Linked DNA regions of Arabidopsis thaliana. The protein of the gene in region 4 interacts with the protein of the main gene of each other region in a pairwise test. Each region holds a gene or a part of one and is shown on either strand. Other genes may lie near its edges.

Evidence for each region.
Region 1: the proteins of IND (region 4) and ANK6 interact in binary tests that used the Arabidopsis thaliana proteins (3 or more experiments, as listed by UniProt).
Region 2: the proteins of IND (region 4) and SPT interact in binary tests that used the Arabidopsis thaliana proteins (3 or more experiments, as listed by UniProt).
Region 3: the proteins of IND (region 4) and IMPA-6 interact in binary tests that used the Arabidopsis thaliana proteins (3 or more experiments, as listed by UniProt).

Annotation. Positions count from the first base shown.
Region 1 is NC_003076.8:24,625,289-24,629,527, reverse strand, and holds ANK6 (Ankyrin repeat family protein), read right to left. Parts: upstream 2,342-4,239; 5' UTR 2,198-2,341; intron 1,751-2,197; 5' UTR 1,275-1,750; coding exon 750-1,274; 3' UTR 560-749; downstream 1-559. Other genes in the region: AT5G61240 (Leucine-rich repeat (LRR) family protein), read right to left, coding at 1-43; AT5G61220 (LYR family of Fe/S cluster biogenesis protein), read left to right, coding at 3,208-3,471; SNAP33 (soluble N-ethylmaleimide-sensitive factor adaptor protein 33), read right to left, coding at 4,162-4,239. UniProt on the Arabidopsis thaliana protein: Promotes anthocyanin accumulation through interaction with PHYA, especially in response to far-red light, high light and sucrose treatment, probably by triggering A3G2XYLT/UF3GT expression.
Region 2 is NC_003075.7:17,412,078-17,416,897, forward strand, and holds SPT (basic helix-loop-helix (bHLH) DNA-binding superfamily protein), read left to right. Parts: upstream 1-2,005; 5' UTR 2,006-2,089; coding exon 2,090-2,599; intron 2,600-2,831; coding exon 2,832-2,942; intron 2,943-3,014; coding exon 3,015-3,080; intron 3,081-3,177; coding exon 3,178-3,243; intron 3,244-3,337; coding exon 3,338-3,583; intron 3,584-3,661; coding exon 3,662-3,731; intron 3,732-3,815; coding exon 3,816-3,868; 3' UTR 3,869-4,309; downstream 4,310-4,820. UniProt on the Arabidopsis thaliana protein: Transcription factor that plays a role in floral organogenesis. Promotes the growth of carpel margins and of pollen tract tissues derived from them.
Region 3 is NC_003070.9:582,638-587,752, reverse strand, and holds IMPA-6 (importin alpha), read right to left. Parts: upstream 3,494-5,115; 5' UTR 3,357-3,493; coding exon 3,135-3,356; intron 2,894-3,134; coding exon 2,797-2,893; intron 2,701-2,796; coding exon 2,609-2,700; intron 2,517-2,608; coding exon 2,385-2,516; intron 2,254-2,384; coding exon 2,068-2,253; intron 1,978-2,067; coding exon 1,811-1,977; intron 1,731-1,810; coding exon 1,652-1,730; intron 1,562-1,651; coding exon 1,433-1,561; intron 1,315-1,432; coding exon 1,187-1,314; intron 1,105-1,186; coding exon 717-1,104; 3' UTR 534-716; downstream 1-533. UniProt on the Arabidopsis thaliana protein: Binds to conventional NLS motifs and mediates nuclear protein import across the nuclear envelope. Acts as a cellular receptor for the nuclear import of the virD2 protein of Agrobacterium, but is not essential for Agrobacterium-mediated root transformation.
Region 4 is NC_003075.7:41,162-45,195, forward strand, and holds IND (basic helix-loop-helix (bHLH) DNA-binding superfamily protein), read right to left. Parts: upstream 2,037-4,034; coding exon 1,440-2,036; 3' UTR 504-1,439; downstream 1-503. UniProt on the Arabidopsis thaliana protein: Transcription regulator required for seed dispersal. Involved in the differentiation of all three cell types required for fruit dehiscence. Acts as the key regulator in a network including SHP and ALC that controls specification of the valve margin.

The DNA.
Region 1 (4,239 bases), on a different chromosome or scaffold from region 4:
GAGAGAAGACGCAGATCAGAAGTAGCTCACAGCGAGAAGCCATGGTTTTTGCTTAAACAGCCAAAGTGAGAAAGAGAACAAACGGGATCTAAGAAGAGAGCGAAATTAAAAAACTCATTTTTATTTTCTCTTCCTCCTCCTGAGATTCGTAAACCGAATACCGTGTATTTCAAACCCGCTATCTCACCGACGGGTCTGGTAATGATCCGGATGTTTTCTTTTTGGTTAATGGGTATCGACCAAATCATTCATTGAAGAGATAGAACCAATCTTGTTAATGGGTATCGACCAAATAATTGTCATTTGTGTAAAATTATTGCATTCCTTACCTTAATTAGTTAAACATGTCCTAAGACACAAATGACAATGATTAGAAACATATGGTGCTAACTCAATTAAGAGCAAAACTTTGCTTCATCCTCGCAATCTAGCTATATACATATCCATGTCAATTATGTTAAATCACACTATGTCAATTACCTGCATTAATTTTTAGACTTAATGATTCATAAGAGACCAAAACCGATTATCTCATATTTTTGGTTGATCCAGAACCGGTTAAACAAATCAAATTCGGCTAGGATATCAAACTGGAGTTGCAAAATAACACACTGAAGATTACATGAATGTATCCGCAGTTTCAATGTTTCACATAGCCCATAAGATCAAACACCAACCATAATAGTTCTGATAAGTAGTCTCAACTAGAAAACAAAACAAAACACACCGAGAAACAACCAAGAAGAAGTTCAGTTGTCAGAACTGGAAGATGTGTCTCCACCAGATGAAGAAGAAGACTCGCTGTTAAGCTTCTTCATTTCCTCGTACGCCCATTCAAGGCCGTGACAGTAATGCACCGGCGGATTAAACCTGGTATCAGTTATATCATCTGCCAAGAATGCGCCGTTCTCCACCAGAAACTTCACTGCTTCTCTCTTCCGCTCTTTGGCTGCAGCGTGGAGAGGAGTCCACCCGCATGAGCCCCATGTTTTAGCATCAATGTTGGCCCCACGTTCTAGGAGTAAATCCATGACTTCAATGTGACCTCCCTCTGCTGCAAGGTGAAGTGCACTCACTCCTTTTGATTTGGGTCCCCATGCTAGAGCATTCACATCCATTCCTTGGTCGAGAAGCTGCTTGACAGATTTCAGATCGCCTTTTCTGGCTTTGATATGGAGCGGATTCCAGCCTCTGTCATCGACATTTGATCTGGGAGATCGGCGTCTGAATGAGTTACGCCGGAGGGAGAATGCAGCCGACGGTTCTTGGAGCATTTTGGGTCTGAGCTTCAGCTAAACAAGAACTAGCTTCGAAACTAGGATCCGGATCTGTGTAGGACTACGAGACTCGGGTAGATACTAACCAAACAGGGGTTTCTTATTCTATGCTTTTAGTGTAAATCTCTCAGCCAAGAATGTCTAAAGAAGATACTACTTGATTTGCAACACTATCCAGACTAGACAGCAAAGGAAGCAGACTAATGTAATTAAGTTGAAAGAGAGCAACTCAATTAACGGGAGGCAAAGGAGTGATTGGCGATGCAGTAAGGGAAAGAAGGATTCAAACCAGGGCCGAAGACACTAAGCTTTTGAAGGATCACAGATAAAGCCATAGACAGGGAAGAGAAAATGAGCATCAGTTTGTAAGAAATATAACCCTAATGATTGTGAAGAATCCTAACGGAGCACGACCACATCGAGACTGAGAAACCCCCAAATTTCAGCCTTAGAGAACACTGACCTTACCAAACCTATCAACAAAAGATGGAGAAGAAAACCAAATTAGTGAAAACCAGATGAACACAACAAAAATGCTATAAATTTCTCTGTAATATAAATAACACAACAATCCAGCTCGTGTAGAGTTTCAAAAGTTCATTCAGAATCCAATTACGACACTTGTAGTCTCTAATATTGGCAAATCTACAAACAATACAATAGAATCAGAAAAAATACCCTCACAGAGACAAAATCAATCGAATCAAGGGGGAACTAACGAGTACAAATTTTAATCATCGATCACCAATCAAGTCAGCTACAAATTACACATGAATCAGAACAAATCACAGAAAAACATTGACGAAATAAGAATCCAACGATGAATCCGAAACGAAAAAGAGAAAAATCAATCTCGACACGCAAGGATTTTCACACATACTTATGAACACAAGGAATCGAAAAGTTTGAGAGGCTCGTACCGTAACCCAGCGAGGAGATAGAGATAGAGAAATGGTGAAACCAAGCTCAGAGATAAAAATTTACTTCTCGCCAGAGAGATCGGAGTTTTTTCGCAGTAGGGTTTTCTCGTCGAGATAAGAGAGAATCGAATTCGTGTAGAGAAGGAAGAAGGCGTGACAGAGAATGATAAATATCGGTTTTGTTTACTATTTCTTGTCGAATATGCCAGCTCATACACCTTCATTAAAAAAGGCTGGCTTATCACATATTGGCCCAATTTAACAGGCCTTTGTGTCTAGCCCATTCTAAAACCGGTTCTTTTCTTACTCAATCTAAAATTGATCCGGTTCCCAAATCAGTTTTCCCGGTTTAGTTTTGGGTAAACCTAAAAGTTTATTTATTCCCCCGAACGACCCAGCTTGCTGCTATCAAAACCTTCGAACGGAGAACTTCAACGGCGAGCTCGGGAAATTAATACTCTCCGACGATTTGATTCGGTATGTATATGTATCTGGAGCTCGTTATCGTCAAATTCTATGCTTATCGGATCCTCTCATGATTCAGATGTATTGTCTCTTTTGGCTGTGACTGCAATTTCATCCATTTTACTGAAGTTTAGGATTACTAAGTGCGTTTATGGCCTTTTAAGGTTTCTTCTTGATTGTTTTAAGCGTTTGCGATTAGTTAATATTGGTTCTTTTGCGTATTTTCATGAACTCTAGTGCCTAGTTTCTAATGTTGCAGCAACTGGTTCTCATACCTTATATACACTACTCAAATCAATACTTATCTATATACTAATGTTACTGAATCTAGGTTCTTTTGCTCTATAAATGATGTACTGGTCCTTAATACTTTTCACTTATCTATATAACTTCTTGTTACATGTCGAAGTGTATAGCTTTATCCCTTGATCATCTTGACTACTTCTCTTCCTTTTCGGCATTGCTAATCTCAGCTTCTTTGTGTTCTTATACTGATTGCAGTTAACCAGGCTTTGTATAATTAAGGGTTAGTTTCCAATCTTGCAATGGTGTCTAGTAGTGAAGTTCTTAGCCTATGTCGTGCCTTGCTTCGAGCGGGACGTCAATTCCCTGATTACAACATTAGGGAGTACAGTAAGCGAAGGACCTTGGATGGCTTCCGCATGAACAAGAATCTCACTGACCCATCGAAGGTGACTGAGGCTTATGCTGAAGCTAAAAAACAGCTTTTTGTTGCTGAGAGAGTGCTCAAGGTTTACTTGGCATATCCTCCCAAGACCAAGAACATCATGGAAGTCAAGCTTCAGTAGATGTATGTTTGTCATTACAATATCCTCCAAAGCTATTTGTTTTTAATGGTCATGTTGGAGCCACTTTATATTCATTGATTGTCGAGTTTGTGGCTTGAGAATATGATTCGGGAACAAGTGGTGTTTGTATGAGATTATTATTTCCTCTATTCATAGTTCTTTCCAACTATGTCAGATTGCTTTGTCTAGTTCTCATTAGTAGTCTTTGTGTTTTATGGCTTCAGACATTATACAAGTGAAGAAGAGGACATTGTGGAATATATCCCTTGGATTGTAGCTGAGGAAGACTAAAGGGAATGAAGAGTTCCTGGTTTTTTTGTTCTTTTGAATAATCTCACATGATTGTGCAGTTGTTGCATAACATATGTTCCAACTTGTCTGGAGTTTCTGTATTCTTATGTCGTATTCTAGCACTGATATTTTTAGGTTATAAATCTGAGATTAAAACTCATAATTTCATCTATTATCAGAATTTCTTGAGAAAGCTTTATGATACAGATAAAAACGATACCAAAGTTGCTTCTGTTTGATCAATAAGTTTTTTGGTTTTTTGTCACAAGATCAAATACAAACACAGATAGCAATAATGTATTTAACATGATAAGAATCTTTCCAGTTTTAAAGAACAACTTCATAGAGAATAAAACAAACGAGGAATGAGTGTAATGAACATATAAACCCTCTGTTCATCTACTTTCCAAGCAAACGGCGACCACGTTGGTTTGATTGTTGCACTCTGAAGTTGAGTTCGTCAACATCATCATGAAG
Region 2 (4,820 bases), about 17 Mb from region 4:
TGGTTTGTCTTCGAAACTACCAACGAACAACTTAAAAAACATTGATCTTTTTAATAGCGTGAGTTTGATTTATGTTATCCTTGTTATGGTGCATATGTATTACGGAAACTTTGGTCTGTTTTAGATGGGTAAATAGTTGTATATGAGTAAATATGATATTGCCAGTGTTTTATATAAAGAAAAAGGGAAACGATGATAAAAGGTGAAAAAGAAGTTTAGGATCATCTTTGTTTTTTATTTTGTTTTCCGACTTTCAAATCAGACAAGACAACGAGGTATGGGTCTTTTAACATACAGAGACTCAACTTGAAAATTCTATCAAACCACCAATTAAAAAACCAGAGAAAACATTCAACTATCTTCTTAGAATCTAGACAAAATAAAAAGTGTATCATGCTGATTTTGAACAAATTATTAAAGAGATCTCAACCATCGTTTCATTAATATCTTTGACAATTCTAGAAGCCGTAGTAAATCTTGTCTTTTTATGTGTATATCTTGTTGAATTTGATAAGGATATTCAAAATAATGAGATATGTATGTTGAGTAATTGAGTAAAATCAGATCCCTTGTTTAATTTGACGATTAAACGCTTTTTTCATTATTTTTTTTCGCATTTTGTTGTGTATGTTCTCAATTACAAATTCCACTATAAGCATTTGGACTCTACAATGTCACTTTCTAATTCTGATATTTAATAAAACAATTATTTTGTATATGTATAAATAGTACCAGAAAAACGAACTTAATAAAATAATTGAATCAAAAGCAGATGCTGAACAAATAGCTGCAGCTTTTAGCAATTGTCTCCCATATGCTTTTCCTTTGTTTCAAAAATTGTATATACGAGGTTAAGTGAATGTTGCAATGAAATAAATGATGCAGTTTGTGCATTCATCAAGCGAACAAGTACGATTGATGTTTTCAGTGCAAAAACTAAAATAAAATACTACTAACAACTATATAGTGTAAATATATATAACTTTAACTTCTTTTTTTTTAAGTCTTCATACGCTGCGAACGATCAAAATATATTTACAAATTTACGACCAATATTTTAAAAATACTTCATTAAAGAATTGATGCTGCTGTCTGCACAGTTGAGAACGCAATTGGAAACTTTCGTGCATTCACTTTGTTCGCCGCAAATTGGATATGTGAACGTGGTCATCATTATTTATAGAATTATTCTATAAAACTTACTATAAAACACTAGATATAAAGCTGGATCATATAAAATGAATTTACTAAAAATTCGATAGTTAATTATAGCAGATGTTATGTTCCAATTTGAAAGCATACGAACGAGGTATATAGTTGAAAACACACACCGTAAAGTTAATAATTTTCACAACACAAGAACAAATCAAAGTCGCAAGTAATTTAACGCATGTCAGTAGCATGGGCTTCTTATATACTAGTCAATAGAATAAACTAGCAAACAAGCAACTAATGTATTCTTGTTTATCACGCCACGGGTTACAATATCATACAAAATTTGAATACTAATTAATGGTAACAAGTAAAAAAACAAATTACTAGAAATGGAAATACTTTTGTCAAACAACCAAGACGTATAACTTTCGTTTTCTATAGATTAATGGACTTCTTAAAAATCTCTCCATCAGATTAAACTTTGAGATATACAAATACAGTTTTTGTTTTCTTCTAAATGATATGAATATTAACTTTATCGATTTCATCCGTAGCAGATTTCCATTTTAAATAATAAACTATGAGAAAACAGATAAAGGTTGTATATTATTTGTTACCCCAAAAAAAAAAAAAACTAACTACGAGTAGTAGTTTAGTGTGTCTCACGTGCGACGAGGAAAAGTTTTGGGAGAGTAAAAACATTTAATATTTACGACTAGTTTGAAAAACCGTGAGCTGACACAAGCTCATTGCTAATGCTACAGTAACAGCTACCTTCACTTTTAACTAAATGACAGACCAATCATTTTAACCTCTGTTTTCTTAGCTGGCGCGTGACAGACACTCTCCCTCTCTCCATGCCCATAAAATCTCAAAGACTGTTTAAAAAAAAAAATGTTTTAGCTTTAACTGCTTTTTTTTTGTTGTTGGTGTAATGATATCACAGAGAGAAGAAAGAGAAGAGAAGAAGCAGAGAGTGATGGGAGATAAGAAATTGATTTCATCTTCTTCTTCTTCCTCGGTTTACGATACTCGTATCAATCATCATCTTCATCATCCTCCGTCTTCTTCCGACGAAATCTCTCAGTTTCTCCGGCATATTTTCGACCGTTCTTCTCCTTTACCTTCTTACTACTCCCCGGCGACGACTACAACGACGGCGTCTTTGATTGGTGTGCACGGGAGCGGTGACCCACATGCAGATAACTCGAGAAGTCTCGTTTCTCATCATCCACCGTCAGATTCTGTGCTTATGTCGAAACGTGTCGGAGATTTCTCTGAGGTTTTAATCGGCGGAGGATCAGGCTCAGCCGCCGCGTGTTTTGGTTTCTCCGGTGGTGGTAATAATAACAACGTTCAAGGAAATAGCTCTGGGACTCGAGTATCGTCTTCTTCCGTTGGAGCTAGTGGCAACGAGACAGATGAGTATGACTGTGAAAGCGAGGTTTTTTCTCAATCTCTGTTTTTTATCTTTTGCATGTTTTAAAAGTTGATTCTTTGTCTCTTTCCCGAGAAAATGTTTCTACAGAGATTTCTCTTTAACGGATCTGTACTTTATTTTCCCCCTTAAAATCCGCAATTTTTTTGGTTGTGATTTTGAGTGAAGTTTTGTCATTTGTGAGTGTAATAATGAATGCACACCGAGTGTTTGATAATTTGCTTCAATGAAAATACAGGAAGGAGGAGAAGCTGTAGTTGATGAAGCTCCCTCTTCCAAGTCAGGTCCTTCTTCTCGTAGTTCATCTAAAAGATGCAGAGCTGCTGAAGTTCATAATCTCTCTGAGAAGGTTTGGTTTAGAGTCTCTCCCAAAAGTAGAAACTTTCTTATTTGAGATTTATGTTTATCTTTCTTGTAACAGAGGAGGAGAAGTAGAATTAATGAAAAAATGAAAGCTTTACAAAGTCTCATCCCTAATTCAAATAAGGTAATGATACTATATATAGAGAGACATCTACATGAATCATTCTATTTTCTGTAGATTCTTTTTGTGTCTGATTATTGCAATGTGTTTATTGGGGAAGACGGATAAGGCTTCAATGCTTGATGAAGCCATTGAGTATCTGAAACAGCTTCAGCTCCAAGTTCAGGTCACTAAAGATACCTTATGTTTATCATTATAACCAAAATCCTAAAACCAGTCTATATTCTGACATAAGTCTTTTTTTGTTCTGATATTTGCAGATGTTGACTATGAGAAATGGAATAAACTTGCATCCTTTGTGTTTACCTGGAACTACATTACACCCATTGCAACTCTCTCAGATTCGACCCCCTGAAGCAACCAATGATCCTCTGCTTAATCATACCAATCAGTTTGCTTCGACTTCTAATGCACCGGAAATGATCAATACTGTGGCTTCTTCATACGCTTTGGAACCTTCTATTCGCAGTCACTTTGGACCTTTCCCTCTCCTTACTTCACCCGTGGTGCGTAGTTGAATTACACATTTTTCATTCTATAACCATAAAGCTAGTTTGCTTACTAATTTTTTTTTGTTACTTAAGGAGATGAGTCGGGAAGGTGGGTTAACTCATCCAAGGTTGAACATTGGTCATTCCAACGCAAACATAACCGGTAAAGTCTTGTTGTTTTGGAATCCTAAGGAAGTTTTAGGACATTTACAATGTTAATAACGTTACGATATTTGGGGATTTGCAGGGGAACAAGCTCTGTTTGATGGACAACCTGACCTAAAAGATCGAATTACTTGAACAGTGTCCCAACTTCGGGATCTCTATGTGTTCTTGTTTCTTAGAACGCAAGCCATAAAGCTGTCTGACAATGGAGATGCATTTAACTGTCTTTATTTTTTCTAAGGTTCTATTTAAAATCAATTGTTGGTGACACGAATTCTAGAGTCTAATCTTTTGGATCTAATAGCTATATATAAAAAGGACTGAAATTTTATTACAAAGTAATTGACTAATTGTTAGATTGTTGTATGTTTATGGTGGATGTAAATTTTCTAGATCATCTTCGTATTGTATTTGAGAGTTTGATACTCGATGGCTTTGGATATGTAAATTACCCCGATAAGCTTCTAGAGAAGTTTTCGATTCTACAAGATGGATTTGGTATCTTTAAGGTTGACCATGTTCTTTTGGTATCTCTTGTTCTCAAATTGATCATTTACAATACAATTTTTTAAAATCTTTTACCCTTCACATTTTTGTACTTACATTTGGTATATTAGTAATTTCATTTGTAAGTGTCTTTTAAAAGTTTTTCATTTATAAGTGTTGTTTTAAGATCTTTTATGATAATTAAAAAATGCTTAAATATCTTATTAACCCTTAATTAGTATACTTATAGCTTTAGTTCTCCAATTAATCTTTAGTAAGTAAAAGGGACAGAGCTAGAACTTTATTTAAAATTGGATTGAAAATACATAAATCTTATATTTTTTTCAAAAACTAGTATTGAACATACAATTTATTTATTTTATTTTATTTGTAAAACAACAATAAAAGTAAAATCATACAACGATATATTTTGAAAAAAGGAAAAGTAATTAGGATTCTCTTTCGGTGAAAATATCAGAGAACAAAATATATTTGAATGCGACTGTAGTTGAAACTTGAAAAAAATTTAGATACTAAAGTTTCGTCATTCTCTTTTTGTTAAAGACTCAGTGACGACCCTCTCCTAAAAAACACTCATAAA
Region 3 (5,115 bases), on a different chromosome or scaffold from region 4:
TATAATCATCAAACTGCAGAGATATTTGATAGCATATAATTACTACAAAATTACAAAATAATTAGACAATAATTCATAAACATATCAGAAATAAGATTAACATTAATAAAATAAATGTTTTTTTTATGGGACGAGTTGGCGGGACGAGTTTGGCAGGACGTTACTTAATAACAATTATAAACTATAAAATAAAAATATTTTATAGATAAATACAATTTGCAAACTTTTATGTATACTAACTTTAAAAAATAAATTGATCATTAAAAAATAAATAGTATATAGTTATTGTGATCGTATTAAAATTGCATTATAACGCATTACCTAACTAAATATTTGCAATTTAATTCGCGACTTTGATTGTCTATTTTCCTTCTTATTTTGTCACGCATTAACATTAAACTGATTTTTGCGTAAATAAGACATGTAGATGTTGATTCTGCATAAATTTTGAAGCTTTAAGAAGTCATTTTTATCGCATTTATTTCATAATTGTTTTTAGCAGGAGAGCTTAAAAAGCACATAGCAGAGCAGATAGTGAAACACTTTAATTTCCGCCTTAAACGCGAGAGAACAAAATATCCAAACTTCTAAAAATACAAAATTCACTCAAAACATGACCCAAAAAAGAGAAAAAAAAACCTAAACTGTTTTTAGAAAAGACAACGAGCGACCTTTGTTCTTAAGTTCAAGCAACTGAGAGAATACTACAGAAACCTTCAACCAAAGTTGAATCCACCCGTAGGAGCATTACCACTTTGGTTTCCGAATTGGAAACCGGAAGACTGAACATTCTCAGGAGCATCCACACCGCCAATATCTTCCTCCTCGTCATCTGCAGCCCAATACGACTCCAGGATTTTGACTGCTTTCTCATAAATCTCATTATTATCGTGACTCTGAAGATTCTCAATCTTGTCCAAACCATCTGCGTCTTCAATCATCTGCGCGTACAGATTATCGTTTCCTGTGTTGCCTAGATTCTTCTCGGCTTCACCTACTTTGAGAATGTTTTCTAGACCTTCCAAAGTCACTGTGACAACCCTTGGATCGGGACACGGTAGGAGATCACACAGGGGTCTGATGCAGCCTTGGCTCACGAGAAACCTGCAAGGATATAAGAGGTTCTATAACAAGAATCACTGAAAAAAAAACTAAAAAGAGACAGAAACAATGAGATTTGTTGTACTTGATTTGGTCATGATTGCCACCAGAAGTTGCATTAGAGATTGCCCAAACAGCTTCTTTCTTAATTTCGAATTCACCGATCTCAAGCAGGTTAATCAGAGGCCGAATAATGCCTGCCTGAAACACTTCCTGCACAACAAATTTATCGATGTTAAATCCAAATGTATATACGACTTCTGGTTTTAAATTATAAGAAAAGATATTGGTTTTTGAACATTGTTATTTGTTAATAATGTATATAACTCACTTGAATTTGACTTGTGTTCCCAGCTGTAATGTTAGAGATAGTCCAGCAAGCTTCCTTCTTGATACTCTTCTTGTATGTGTTCTTCAAAAGGTTTAACAGACCAGGAAGCGCTTGACTGCTAATAACCGCCTGTTATGGAGAAAACAGAGATGATTTACTTAAGTAAACATCAAAACTATAGGAGATATAAAAGGCAGACAGTTACGGATAATAGACTACCTGAGTCTGAATATCATCTCCGGTTACAATGTTACCAATTGTACGGAGAGCTGGAATCAGAACTGAGGGCGATGGATGACTAAGAAGACACAGATAACGAGATCAGGTCAAGATATATGTGAATGATATAGAATTGGTAGCTAAAAGAAAATTACTTACGCCAAGAGCTGAACAAGGCGAGGGATGACACCAGCGTCGATAACAGTTTGTATTTTCTCGTTTGTACCATCAGAGAGATATGAGAGAGCCCAGGATGCATCTGTGAGAACTTCTTCGTCGGTTGAATGCAGAAGGCGCTCAAGAGCTGGTAAAGCTGCTTTTGTCTGCTCAACAAATGCAATGACACATTCTCATATTAATAAACAGTTGAGAAAAAACACTTCAAATTGGTTTATATATCTTATATGCAAGGAAACCTGTTCAAATGCAGGCTGCGGCTTCCCTCTGCAGAAATTTGATAATGTCCATGTAGCATTCCTCAGCATGGAGAGCTTTGAATGCTCATGGAATTGAGCCAGAAGAGACATCATAGCCTCACAACTTAGGACATGATCACGACATTTTGGCGAGTCACCAGCAACGTTTCCCAATGCCCATACAGCCTATAATCAGGGGAAAAAAACATAGAAATCAGGATGTTAAAACAGTCGGAATCGAGTCATCAGCAATTTGATCTAAGAGTTTCTTTGCCAGAACAATAGAAAGAAAATTGATATTGAATCTAAATTGATACCTGTTCTCGAACTTCCTCACTTGCAGAACTAAGAAGTTTGACGAATAAAGGGACAGCACCACTATCAATAATGACCCTAGTGTTCTCAGATGTCCCTGAAGCGATATTGGTAAGCGCCCAAGCTGCCTCAAACTATAGTTATACAAGCAAAGCAAACAGCAAAAGCCATCAGCATATGAATCAAAGCACCAAGCTACACTTAGATATAAGAAAGGCAAGCTCACCTGAAGTTGAGTGAAGTCATCCCTGGAAAGAAATTGCACAATGTGAGGAACAACACCAGATTGAACAACTTCATTGATTGGAGGATTTCGCTCTACAAAAAATTCAACCAACCACAATAAGCAAAAACTAAAACCCACAAAACAATCAAACCCTAAACGCCATGTTAAGAGATTTATAAATCACGTACCAATTGAAAGCAATCTCCTGAAGCTAGCCGTCGCCTCCAATTGTAAGTCTCTATCCTCTGACATTACTCCAGCAATCATCTGTTGTATATTCTCCAACTGCAATTGAATCAGGGCAACTTATTATCTAACCTCAAGCAATGCAGATTCTGAAATTAGGGTTCAGTAAACCCCAAAATTCAGTACTCCTGATCCAATTATTTATCTAGGTAACTAGATCAGAAGCTTTCAATTTCATTCTAATTCACCGAGATACCCTAACTAGTTCTCAATCTAAATTCGGTACCAAACATAAACGAGAGAAACACAATCAATTAGATATAGAACACGAAGAACGTACTCTCGTTTCCGTAGGGAGAGACGAGGAGAAATCCTGCCCTGGCTGTGACGCCATGGAAGGATTAAAACCTTCACGCCGCTTCTTCTGCAAGTTCTCCTCTCTCTTGTTCTTCCGGATCTCCACCATGTTATCCTCCCGTCTCCGGCGACCTTCATCGGCGTCCACAGATACTTTATACCTGTTCCGGCGAACCTCAGTCTTCGCGCTTGGTTTGTAAGACATGGTTAGCTTAATCGAATCAACCAAAACAGAGGATCACTAGGTTCTGAAGGAATCGATGTAGACGAACAACGAATTGATCGATCGAGTTTTTGATTTCTCAGAGGAAGATGAAGAAGACGAAGGAGCAGGAGAATCAGGGTTTTGGAGTGATGCGATATAATTTATACAACGTGACGTCGGGATTCGAGGAGGCTACGGGTAAAAGACGATATTGGGCTTAGGCTTTAGTATTAATCACGATATTGCCACAACTTTTGAATTTGAAATCGCAACGTCTACAAAAGGTATAGCGCGATTTTAGTAATATAGTGATTACTAATGCTGACCTGTCTTTTGACTTTAATAAAGAGGCTTTATTATATAAATTAGCCCAATATCGGCCCAACGTTTGCTCAGTAAAGTAATGTTTTATGAATCTGATTACAATAAATTGGGCCTGGTATTTAAGCATCTTAAACGCTATTTCATGACAAACATAAGCATCAACGGACAAGAACTTAACCACCTCTACATCAAGAACTTCATTAGCCAAGTCTCTCGGACAAATCTCCCTCTTCGGTTTCCACGAACCAAATCCCAACAACTCACAAGCCATACCCTTCAAGCTAACCCTTGACCTCTCACCATAACTAAATGGAAAATTTACCTTTACCAGATCACGAACGTCAACTTTCTTAACCACTACTCTAACTAGCCCACCGAGCTTAGCGACAGTTTTAGCAATACCTATTCCTACAAAAACAAACCTCTCATCACGAAATAGATCACTAAGGCATTCGCCGAGATTGGTATTTTGTTTCATATGAAGTAGTTGGAGTATGAGGCATTTGGTTTTGATGCATAGTTGAAGAGTCGAGATTTTTGCATCATCTTGAGGATTGGTCTTGGAGTTTAGAGAGATGATCACCGTTGGTTCATCTCGGTAGGTTAATCGTATGGCGAGGATCCAATTCTTGGCTATGGAAACTTCATTTGTCACCGTTGTTTCTATGAGTTTTTCACGAAATGGAATCAACTGTGTAATTGTTACCATCGCTCAGTATGATTTTTCACTTACGCATATGTCCATGCATAATATAAACGGTTGGTATTATCAAAGTCTTCAATTTTCGAAAAGAACTCGATTCAATGAATTGGTCAAATGTGCTATTAATATGACCAATTTCCGATTGAAAACATTGAACATAAAATATTTAACGAGATCTTTAATCTGCAAACCAAATTTAACATTCCCCACAAACACAAATAGAATTTAGTAGATATACTTCATTCTCCTATTTTCTCATTAATGAATTCAAATACACTCACTAATTACAGAAACAAAAATGAAGAAAAAGTTAAAAGGAATTAAATTAAATTATAATACAAAAACCAAAAATGACCAAGAAATTAAAACCTGAATGATGATGACGTAAACTTGATAGATGATACGAACCATAATTAATAAGATCATTAATGCATCACTATATATCCCTTTGGCTTTGCAACGATCAGTGTAAACCTGATTTTGCATCTTCATTATTGCATAGAACCTCAGCTTTCTCATCAATCATATCGTCTCCTCCTTCCACATCACTATAACATTCATCTTCTTCCTCATCAATATCATCATCATATAAGGACATGGCTGATCCATATCCCGAGATTCCTGATGATGATGAAGATGAAGCCGCCGTGAAAACCTCCATAGTCTCTGATAAACGACCCTCGGAATCATCATCATCTTCATTATCATTATCACCATCGTCTCCTCCCATTT
Region 4 (4,034 bases):
GCTATCTCTAGCTCCGACCCTGTCCCCATTAGGATTACGTCTAGTTTTGTCACCTGTGGAGTTGTCTGAGATTACATATCCCCCCTTCACCACTACCTCGACCGAAGTTCCAGGTAGATGAGGCAGCTTTTGTCTGGACAAAGCCAGGATCGAAGGCCTCTTTCTGTTCTCTACAGCAACTTTGGAGGCACGCGCAGTCAAAGATATCGGAAGGAGACCCATATCACTATGGGCCCAAAAGCCCATATTGGAAATGTCCGTTTAATCACGAGTTATTTGTTAGCTTTATATGACACCGTTGGAGGAAAAAGGAAATGGAAGTAAAAAATCACAAGAACAATGGTATTTGTATGGTTTGAGATTTATCTATATGTATAAACTTAAGACTGGATATGCATGGGTTGCATGTTTTTTATTTACGTACTATTTAGGAATATTATGATAAATGTAGAGGTTTAATTTCAAAGATCATTATTATAAACATCTTTTTTTTTTTTTTTTTTGAATATCAGGAGGTTCTGGGCCGAAGCCCGTAATTCCTTTAGGCCCGAAACCACATCATGTAATATTAGTTTCGTTCCAAGTGTCACTCGAACTTGCGATCTCTCAGCTTCGCCTAGGGTCTTTTTGGATATGCTTAATTCAAAATAACTACCACATCTCTTGATTGTTCATCTTCCTTTCAATTTAACTTGGCGAAATATAGTGGACGTGTGGTGTTTGAAACGGATACACTCCTCGATTGACCTTATCAAGATGGTAACCAAAATCACGATGATCACTTCTGGCCGGCGTTCCATTGAGACAGAGAGTTATCTCAGTTTGCTTCTTTTTAATTTTTAGTTTAATTTTCTTTCTAAATTTCTCTAAAATATGTTTGTAATAATCAGAATGCTTGTCCGTCGAAATCTCGACCCTTTTCTTCTTAAATTTTTCATTATTCTCCAATATGGGAACCCTCTTGAGGATGGTTTCTTCTTTGGTGGATGATTTTTAATGTAGGTGCGTAATAATGGTTGTTTTCTTTTTTGCTAATCCATATATAACCTACACTCATCAGATTCAGATAATTGATACAAATTATAGTCAAATTAAAAAAGTATTTGATATATATTCTCCATATATATATATATATATCGAAAATTAATTTGCAGGCCAAAGCTTTCATACAGAATGATCAAACCCTAATTAACAATCAATATCTTCTTTTTTTTGTTTACAATCAATATCTTCTTTTTATTCACCAATTATTTATGCATATGATATCAAGATAAAGAAACTTGGTACACAATTGTACATCATATATCTTAGAATAATAATATTAAAACACCCATACAATCTTGGATCGAATCTTTATGCATCTATATATAATATATCAACATGAAAAAGGTTGAGAGGATGACACCAAATGTCTAGCTAGCGAGCTTCTGTGTAGTTCATCAGGGTTGGGAGTTGTGGTAATAACAAAGGTAAGAGGGGTTAGCCATAGGAGCTCCAATCTGAGAGTGAGGCTGAAGAATCCTCACCTGCCGTTTCAAGAACTTGGTGTAACGTATGGCTTCGTCGAGCATGGAAGCTGTGTCCATCTTCGCACCACCAGGCACGATCCTCTTGAGAATTCGGATCTTCTCGCTGATCCTTTCCCGACGCCGACGAGCAACCACCGTCTGAGGATCGTCGCTTATCCTTACGTTACGGCGGTTCGGCTTAGGGACCGTGGCAGGGTCGATGTCTACGGGCTGCATGACGGCGATCATGTACTGCATCTCCTTCATCGCATCCATGTCTTCATCGTACTCTTCGTCTTCGTCCAAGTGAATTAGGGTTTCGGGAGGTGGATCTAACATGAGATGGTGAGGATCATTGAGAAAAGCTGCGTGTTCTTGTGTGAGAAGATCATTAGCTTTGTTCCAATCCATGAGGAGATGGTGAGGCTGAGGCTCCATCATGCTTCTTTTGGGGCTGTGGTTGGATCTGCTTTTGGACGAGACACAAGAGTCGCACACTCCTTTCTTTTTATACATACCATTTTCCATTTTCATCTTTTCTTATTTCTCAATATATATATTCTTTTTCCAGAAATATACACATATGTATTTACTGATATATATCTTTGACTCGATTAATTAACCGAATGCTTACATGCATGTCTCTTATTATTTACTTCATATGCCTCATTTTTTTTTTATAGGATATATGTCTCATTTTATGATATATTTTACCTTTTCCTTTCTGTTTCAATTAATTAGATGTTTTGTAAATTTATATGTAAATTTTAAGTGTATTTAATATTTTGTGATTATTTATATTCTTTAATAGTATTGTTTTATGAATGGTTGCATGGTTTTAAATTAATTGATATTTGGTAGTGAAAAAAAACTAACTTCTTAATATGTGCGTTTTAATCAAAAAAAAAACCTTACAAAATAACCATTATTTTTTATGACTCAACTTATTTCCTATGTAAAATGTCCTTGAATTTAAAAAATGGAACTTTTGAAAAGGCTTTTGAACCCAACCAGAACATTAGTATTTATATAGGTTATGTATACAAAATTTTCCAAGATTCAAACCTGCTTATATGTTGTCGTGTCCCGTCGTCTGTATTTTTCGGGACTAAATTATAATTTTGCAAATAGTTAAATCTTCAAGTATTTCCAGAAGTATAGTTACCCAAGCTAATATACTGATTCCCCAATATACATCAACATTACAGTTCTTATTTATGTAAAAAATTACTAAATTTAACCCACATTATACGATCAAAGAAATTGATTAGATTCATAATATCAGATTTTTTACACAAACATTAGTAGAACTACCACCAGTATTTTTTCATTTTTTTTATCAACTAGACATATATTAAAAGATAACTATATGATTGACTGTCTAATTGGGAGGAGATGAGTTTACAAAAGTAACTTTAGAAAACAAGAAAAGAGAGAAACGACCTAAACAATCCGTCTTAAAATTCCATAAATAAAAAACATAAGAAATCAAGAAAAAGAAAAATAAAGAAGAGAACATTCCAAACTAGTTTAGTAGGTTGGAGAAAGCTGACCACCAAAAAAAATTTAATCTGACAAAACTATTTTTTTGAATATATATTAGTTATTGTGAAAATAAAAACGTGATGACATCATAGTGACATGGGCCTGCATGAACAATTTAATCAGATATGTTTTTTTTTACCGCAATCAGATATGTTATTACATACATATCAATATTACTTCATTTTATCTTAAATTATATAGCTCATGTTTAATTCTGGAATTGTTTTCATAACTAAATTTTTTTCGATAAAGTTGTCATTTTAAAATATTTCCTAGAGTTCTAATTAAGTTTAGTGTTGTGTGAATGGAAGAATTCGACACATAACTTGCCAAAAATCCGTGCATGTGATTAATTTGGCAAAGGAAATTAAAGAAAATATCATTAGATCATGATTAAAGCTAAGTTTTGCAGCAAAATTATATATATTGCCGTTTAAAGACTCAATATATTTCTACCTTTTTCGCTAACAAATTTCATGGACTCATTTGTGCTAGTTTATATAAACCTTGTTATAACCATTTAAATTCGTATACGTACGTACGGAGCAATACAAGAAACACATATAAAGCAAAATCCTATAGACCACAAAAGATAGAAGAAATAGTGTGTGGTCAAAATCATGGTTACTCAAAAAGCAAGATCAAGAACAAGGGATTAAATTTCTAGGGTTTTTCCTAAGGACGAAGAAGGAGAGAGACTTTACGAAATTAGGGCAAAAAAGGAGCGTTGCACTTTGGTTTGGATATCATTGCCATAAGGAAGCATAAGTCGCTCTTGTAATAGTTACTCAACACATGTCTCCATTTTTAGTGCTCATTATTTTGACCTAATTTTCTTCTCTCTCTCCTCTTTTGACAACTCCTATACACCAAAATAGGCAATTTAACATCATTGTTCTTCTATTTCTTGTCTTTCTTCTAAACCCCACGGTTTCTTCGACATTTTCTTACAAGCCCTTTCAACGGCCTTGATTTGATCTT